2 linked regions of the Xenopus tropicalis genome follow. The protein of the gene in region 1 purifies or fractionates together with the protein of each later gene. This does not show direct contact. Links are inferred from orthologs where the notes say so. Each region holds a gene or a part of one and is shown on either strand. Other genes may lie near its edges.

Evidence for each region.
Region 2: the proteins of xpo6 (region 1) and zmat2 purify together in Homo sapiens (co-immunoprecipitation; 3 studies listed by BioGRID and IntAct, with this or other methods). This does not show direct contact. The link is inferred for Xenopus tropicalis from reciprocal best matches to the Homo sapiens genes XPO6 and ZMAT2.

The regions. Positions count from the first base shown.
Region 1 is NC_030685.2:21,036,179-21,040,099, reverse strand, and holds the end of xpo6 (exportin-6), read right to left. Parts: intron 3,411-3,921; coding exon 3,312-3,410; intron 2,930-3,311; coding exon 2,699-2,929; intron 1,288-2,698; coding exon 1,186-1,287; 3' UTR 651-1,185; downstream 1-650. UniProt on the Homo sapiens protein: Mediates the nuclear export of actin and profilin-actin complexes in somatic cells.
Region 2 is NC_030679.2:26,880,050-26,883,870, forward strand, and holds part of zmat2 (zinc finger matrin-type protein 2), read left to right. Parts: intron 1-1,668; coding exon 1,669-1,814; intron 1,815-3,821. UniProt on the Homo sapiens protein: Involved in pre-mRNA splicing as a component of the spliceosome.

The sequences.
Region 1 (3,921 bases):
GTATCTTTGTTGCATAATGTAGAAACCCTATGAGAATCTGTTTCCAATGGAACTGGTGCATCCTGCCAGGTTCTGTCTCCCAGAACTGGTCTGTATGGGCACTAGGGGGATGTGGAAGCCCCAGCAACACTGAGCATTGGTCTAACATTTTGAATCAATACGATGGTTTCCCACTGGCAAATGTCAGACGGGTAATTTTCACCATTAAAGTCATCAGCGGAACACAGGAAAAGTTAAAAAACACCTGGTGGCAGGTAGATGGCTGATGGCAGAGGCAGCCAAGTGCCCCACATGACATTAACCACTGATGCAGTGGAACTTCTCCAGGATCTACAGCAAGATATGTTTATAATTATGATGTTGGGTTTAAGTTTACCTTTATATTTGGTCTATGTGCCCCTCTTACTTAATAACATCATAATTATAAACATATCTTGCTCTAGATCCAGTGCACTCTGAGCATTAGAACTGGGCCAATTTGGCAACACCCCATTATTTCCCAGCCAGTCCCACAATGAAGTCAGGATGGACAACGAGTAATACAAGCATGTACATCTAGCAGGCCCTGGAGGAGTGCTTATATTCGGCAACATCTGGATGGTCCACTAACTGCCCATGGTGGGGCTGATGCATGATATGGCAAGCACAGCTCTAAACAAAGCAAGGTTTTTTATTCGCGAAAAGATGTCGCGGATTCACAATGGAATGATAAAAACACAAAAAATATAAAACAATACATAATATCGTCCGTGTGTGGCAATTGGCCTGTACAGCCAGTTAAAATCCAGAAGCCGAAGACACGCGAGTGTCCATACTTGGGTCACATACAGACCCCACCCTTCTTCTCCACTACAACTGGGAATGATATTGAAGGTTTGTTGAAGCGTTTGCATGAATTAAAAAATATATATATATTCAAAGAACAAAAAATGGAAGCCTTCCTAACCCTCAGCTGGCATAGGAACGAGATCCATTTGGCAGCCTAGGGGTAGAGCGGGGGGAGCCAAGAAAGAGGCACTGAAGTCCAACGATGCACTAAAACTGCCCGCGCTTACAATAAAATCGGTGCGAGTGAGGGGGGGGTTTCACAGCTGTATAGTGGTGAGTTAAGACTATCAATGTGGAGAGAGAAGAGCGTGATGGATAAAGTCTGTCCATTGGCAGGAAAACGAGGGGCGAGGGAGGTCACAGCTTTACAGTTCCAGGAGGGAGACTGTCGTTGCAGAGTCTGTAGTATCGGAGGTCATTGACTAAACGGTGGACACTCTGAGTAAACGAAGGCAGGTCCTGCATACGGTGAGAGAAGAGAAGGGTCAGGAGAGAAATGGAAGGGGAGGTTCACCTTACAAAGAGAAGACCTGTTTGCACAAACATCTATAGAGAAAGCATATGGCTCTGTATGGAGCTGACCAACCCCTACTTGGAATAATTAATTAAATTACTGTATATACTAGAGTATAAGCCTAGTTTTTCAGCACCCAAAATGTGCTGAAAAAGTCACCCTCTGCTTATACTCGAGTCGGGTGCCATGGGTCCCTCCAGACTCCCTTCAGCACCCTCTGTCCTTTGTGTGCAAATTAGGCCCCCTGCAACCAGACCCTCCAGCGCCCTAGCCCACTCCCAGTCGCAATACTTATTTCCCCTTACATGTCCTCCGGGACCAGGTCTGCTGCCAGTTTGCCAATGTGCAATGAGCGTGGAATAGTACTCATTGTTTTTGTTGACCCTCTTCTTCACTTACAGAGCTAGTTTACGGTTTTTCTTTTAAATAAATATTTAAAAACATATACCCCACTGATGCCTCAATTAATGTAATTTTACTGGTATTTATCTTGATTATTGAAACTTAGCAGTAGCTGCTGCATTTCCCACCCTAGGCTTATACTCAAGTTAAGTTTTTCCAGTTTTCTTAGGTAAAATTAGGTACCTCTGCTTATATTCGGATCGGCTTATACTCGAGTATATACGGTAGTAGAAAATGACCAGGGCCCCTGATCCCTTGTGAATCTAACTTCCCAATATCCCTAAGCCAGTAGTTAGTCTGAAGGAGACAAACAGTTCTCTCTAGTTAAGCAGGTACTTACCATCTGCAAACATCCGCTTGGGATGTGGGCTGATCTTGCCCATAAGGAAAAGACAATTCAAGTTGCACTAGGACAAACTTCATTTCCAGATTTCTCATGTCAAGTTCTAAGAAAGCACCATAGAACTCTAAGCTGCCTCACATATTTTAGAAAGAAAATACTCCGTCCTTGGGTCTACAGAAAAGCTAGAGGTGATGCCAATGTAAAGAAAAGCCTTGAAAAGGCTGGGCAGCTTGGGTTACTACTTTAGATGGGCACACTCAACTCTTCAAAGAAAGCAGAAGACAACTCTTCCCTTTCAACAGAAGATTTACTATATTGTTTGTATGGAAATGGCTGTATTTGGAGAGAAATGTAAAAATTAGCAAGCCCTCTAGGATAGCATCAGGACTGGTGGGTCTCCCCTAGAGTCAGCTTGTGCACCAAGACGGCCCAGGGGATTCTGAAGGGCTTGGCACTGCTATTACATCTTAAATGTAGCAGAAAGGGTTCAGTAATCTCCATACAAAGCCATAGCTGCCATCATAATACATTCTAAGATTTGAGTACATTATTAAGGCTTGGATTTCAAAGCTCTCTCTATAAAGCATGCTATGATAAAACGTTCATCTCACCCGTTCCATTTTGAAGTTGCGAGCGAGGACGCCTTTTTGGCTGGTGTCCAGGCCTTGGCAGCCTGTAAGAAACTCTGGCAGGAAAGCAGAGAAGAAAGTGCTAAAATCCACCGATGCCATGTTATAGACGGCAATGCCAATCTCTTCCTGCAGGAGGTCATGGGACTTGTGGATTAGAACCTGCAGCAAAACACTGACGAACTGAGGCAGCATCACAGTCTGGAACAGTTTCTAAAAAAATAATTAAGGAAAGGATGGAGAATTAGAGCACAAAAGGAGAACAGGGGATTTGTGGAGTTGCAAACTGTGAGAAAGAATATATCCTGTAGACTAGACCATAAGCTCACAAGCTCATGAAAATTAATTACCCAGCATCTCACTATCACTCTGACTAGGCCCTGACTGGCAATCTGTGGGTTCTGGCAAATGCCAGAGGGGCTGCTGTAAGATGCCATACACAGTTACTATTTATTGGGTTGGTGGGGGCTGTTTGGGACCATTGTTAACATTTTGACCAAGATCCAGATCCGTTGGTTATGATACTGTACAATTTTACAGACCTAGGCTTACAGACTGACATCTTGTGTAACAATCAGGTTATTATGGGTCTTACCTTATGGTACAGTTTATGTTTGCTGTTGAGGGTTTCCAGGTAGCTGAGATTTTGCCTGAATATGTGTATGTCTGGCTGAAGAAATGACTGACCAAAGGCCTGAGGAGAAGAATTAGTGACAATCAGTAAGGCACAGTATATATTATCCCCACCTCCTCTGAAACACAAGCCCCCTTGACTTTAGGTACCATCTCAATGTTTTGTCTATTCCAAGATTAAATGCCTGAACAGCCGGTCCTAAAGTCACATTGCACCTAAAGTCCTGTAAGGACCATCAATAACCACCATAGCTATTCCTATGTACCAAGCACAGTTCTGCACAGTTTTAAAGGGGTGGCTCACCTTTAAGTTACCCTTTAGTATGTTATAGAATGTCCTTTTCCTAGCAACTCTTCTACATCTCCTAGCATTTCTCTTCTGTATCTTTCAACAGCTTTCTAATGGGGGTCACTGACCCCAGCAGCCAAAACCTATTTTTATTCCTTTCTATTCATTACCTCTCCATCACATATTCCAGTGTCTCATCAAACCACTGACTGGTTGCCAAGGTAAACAAGACCCCAGCAGCCACATAGCTGCTGAAATTCCAAACTGAAGACCTTCTGAACAA
Region 2 (3,821 bases), on another chromosome or scaffold:
TGACATGGTTTTTACATATCAATAGATCTTACATTTATTTTGCAGGAATTCATAATACCTCCATAAACTAAAAGTTTAGCCATTATTTCAGGTTAGGTTGTACTCTATACCTCCATAAAATATAGCCGCAGTCTTCTTTAGAGCCCGTTATTAAGCGTGGGTGTAGAGGTGGATCTATATATAAAAAAATTTTGTTGAGGAAGGTAATTGCTCAGTAAATCACAATTTTGAAAACTGCTGAATCCCCGGCATGTGTTAGTGTTACGCATGTAATTAACTGCTGATTGTTAAGCGGTGACGTACGTACAAGGAAAAGAGACATTTTGACATTTTGCTTTGAAGGCTATATATTTAAACAAATGTGATGCTCTTTATCAGTGAGAACAGGCGCTGGTGACTCCTCGCTAATCAATTAGCTTTCATTTGAGTGCATTCTCTTTAGTTAGTTGTAAAGTTTTAGCTGCATTGAATAACTGACAGTAAAGGCTTTACTGTGTAATAAAGGGAACGTGCTATGATGAATTATTCTACACTTCTGCACCAGACACAATAGAAGTAGCAGGTAGCAGGAGTCCTTAAACCTAGTCTTTATATCAAATAGGTTTCCAACATTCAGGGCCTGTTTTGGCTAATGCCGATTGTTGCTGATATGAAGTGTTAAGGTTCTGTTGTGTCTGCTACCCATTTCTGGCACAATTTAACTGGCCACATCCCCTATTAAGTCATTGCACCTACTCTGCAGTTGGGCAATGTCCCCATCTCATTTCCCATAATGGGAATCTAAACACAATAGGAGCCCTGTGAGCTTGTGGCCAGTTGCTGCATAGCTAACGATACAAGCTAGAACAGTAACTTCTTTGGAGATGCTTGCGGGAATAAAGCAGACTGCAGTCATCTAAAGCTGGCCATACACGCACTGATAATTTTGTACAAAACCTCGTTTTGTACGGTATTCGGTGCGTGTATGGCAAGTTTGGGAGGCGACAGATATTGCAGAAGGCTACTGATATCGGTCGACTTGTCGATCGGGTGGGTTAAAAGATTTTGATCGGGGGCCATTGAAGGCGCCTGAGCAAAATCTGCCTTTTTAGGCTGAATCGACAGAAGGAGGTAGAAATCCTATTGTTTCTACCTCCAAATCTGACGATTCAGCCCTGAATGACCAATGGTTGCACGAAAGATCGAAAATCGCCAGCTTAACCGTTTCTGTCCCATTTAATCTTGCCATTCAGTGTGATGCCAGTAAGCATGAACCCAGAACAATAGATTCTATGTTACTGTTATGATGGCCCTTTTTTGCTGCCACTGTAGGTTCTGTGATATGTTGCATATGGAAGGGGAGTGTAATCCAGGATCGTGCACAGAAAATGAATAGATAATATAGAATGTGTGGAAAAGGACTGGTTGGTTTGTTTCGTTCTGGTTCTTGGTGTAATGCTGTGCCTTTTGTGGTAGGAGAGAACAGGGCATAACGATGGCTGCTTATAGAACCGTGTATAGTGCAATGTATCCTACTGGCCTGCAGCACTGGAAACTGTACAGGCCAGTGCAAACCCGCAGTGCTGTTCTTCACATAGAGATATGTTTCTAGTCTATATTAAATAATACCAATAAAAAAACTTGTAAATGGCAGTTCTTACTTTAATTTGAAAATGATCTTTATATCAGATCAAAGGAACTTGGGAATGTCAATGAGAGTAGAGCGGTCAACACTCGATCAAGTCAAGAAGAGATTTGAAGTTAATAAGAAGAAAATGGAAGAAAAGCAAAAGGACTACGACTTTGAAGAGCGAATGAAAGAGCTTCGGGAAGAGGTATGACTCTTTAGCCTGGAATTCCAGAAGCAGGTCTTAATTAGAAGCATCAGAGCGCAGATGCAATCAGTGACACTGAGAGTAAAGAAGCCCTTGTGCTGCTGGCCTAATCCTCTTACAGTATTCTGCAGGCAACAAAAATGGGTGCTCTTTACACACCCAGTGCTCTATGTAAAATGAAGATTGCATTTTCAACTATTTTCATGTTGGACTTTTCTAATTTTTAAAGGAGACATATTGCATCATACTCATTTTTTGGTAATATATTCCCCTTTCTCTAAAATGTATAGTGCTTCTATAAAAGAAGGTTTTAAAAACATTTTACCTGTTAAAAATGTAATTATACTAAAGCTGCAGAGAGATCCTTTCTCCTCTGCTGTCTAAGCTGAAATGAGGACTGGGCGTGTCCTCTCATGCTGCCTCAGGAAGTGATCATACTTCTGAGTGACAGTCAGAAAGTCCTGCCCCTGTATTAGTTTTGCTTCACTGACCGTTAGGACGGGCCTTTTTTTCAATGAGAATAACACGAAAGCATGAAAGTTGGATGGCACTCCAGCTGGTAAATAATAACTTTCTTTATAGGAAAGAGGTTTATTCATGGGGGCCTGCTGGAGGGCCCTTTATATCACAGCTGATGGCAATAAATTGTGCATAAAACTCCCTGCAAACTATTAACCTTTTTTTTTTACATAAATAAAGGAAGTTTGTCCTCCTGCCTGCATCCCCCTCAGCTGATTGTGTCCTCCTTTCCCTGACAGCCGTTTTGTCCTTCTCCCCCCCCCCAGAGTCTTTCTGTTTTGCTTCCCCCCGAGAGCCTCCTTCTCCTCCCCCCCCCCCCCCCCGAGAGCCACCCTGTCTGCTTCCCCTGAGAGCCGTTCGTAACTTTTGACAGCTGCCCCTGCGCTTCTTATAAGGGACGTTCGGCTCTGTGCTTCTTTATCTGAAAGGAGCACAGAGCCGAACGTTCCTTATAAGAAGCGCAGGGGCAGCTGTCAAAAGTTACGAACGGCTCTCAGGGGAAGCAGACAGGGTGGCTCTCACGGGGGAGAAGGGTGGAACGGCTCGCAGGGTGGAGGGGGGGGAAGGATGGAATGTCTCTCAGGGGGGAGCAGGGTACGGCACAGCGGTGGGCAGGTAGCTGGCAGGTGGCTGATTAACGGTGCAGATCTATGTGCAAGTACGTGGTGATTGCAAACGGCCAAACTGACGTCACTAGAAGCACCTCCCTCCCTTCACAGTCAAAGCCCTCAGTAATGAAGCTGTGAGAGCCGGCGGCTCTTTAGCAAACTATACAGAGTCTTAAACCGGAAGTCCAGGATAGGAGCATAACAAGAGCAGTTTTTGGCCAATTTCATGAAATTTCACTTGAAATGTACCCAAAAAAAGCCAATTCCTTCTATTTTACATTAAAAAACATCCATTAAAGCACTCTGAAAAATGATGGTATATGTCCCCTTTAAATATACTTCAATACATAATAAGACAAACTTCCCTTTTAAATGAGTACTTTCACTCAGGGCAGGTTTCAAGGCAGAGCAGGATGGACATTTATCTTGCCTATTGGTCACCCAAAATGAATGTAGATAGAAGTACAAAGGGGAAGTTTTATTGTTAAAGCTAACATTATTCAAAGTGTATTCACCCCTGCCATAGAAATGCATGTGGGCACCTATATGGATTGCTGGCTCTTTACAGGGGTGGTTCATCTTTAAGGTATCTCCTAGTAACTTTGCAATTGAGCGTCAATTATTTTTTTTTTCACATGGTTTTAATTATTTGCTTTTCTCTTCTGCCTCTTTTCAGCTTTCAAATGGCAGTCACTGACCCCATCAGCTTAAAAACTATTCCTCTGTGAGGCTACAGTTTTAGTGTTACTGTTTCTTACTTATCTTCCTAGTCAGGCCCTGTCCTAATAATATTCTAGTCTTTTATTTAAAACAGTGCCTGGTTGCTAGGAAAGATAAACCCTAGCAACCAAATAGCTGCTGAAATTTCAACATGGAGAGC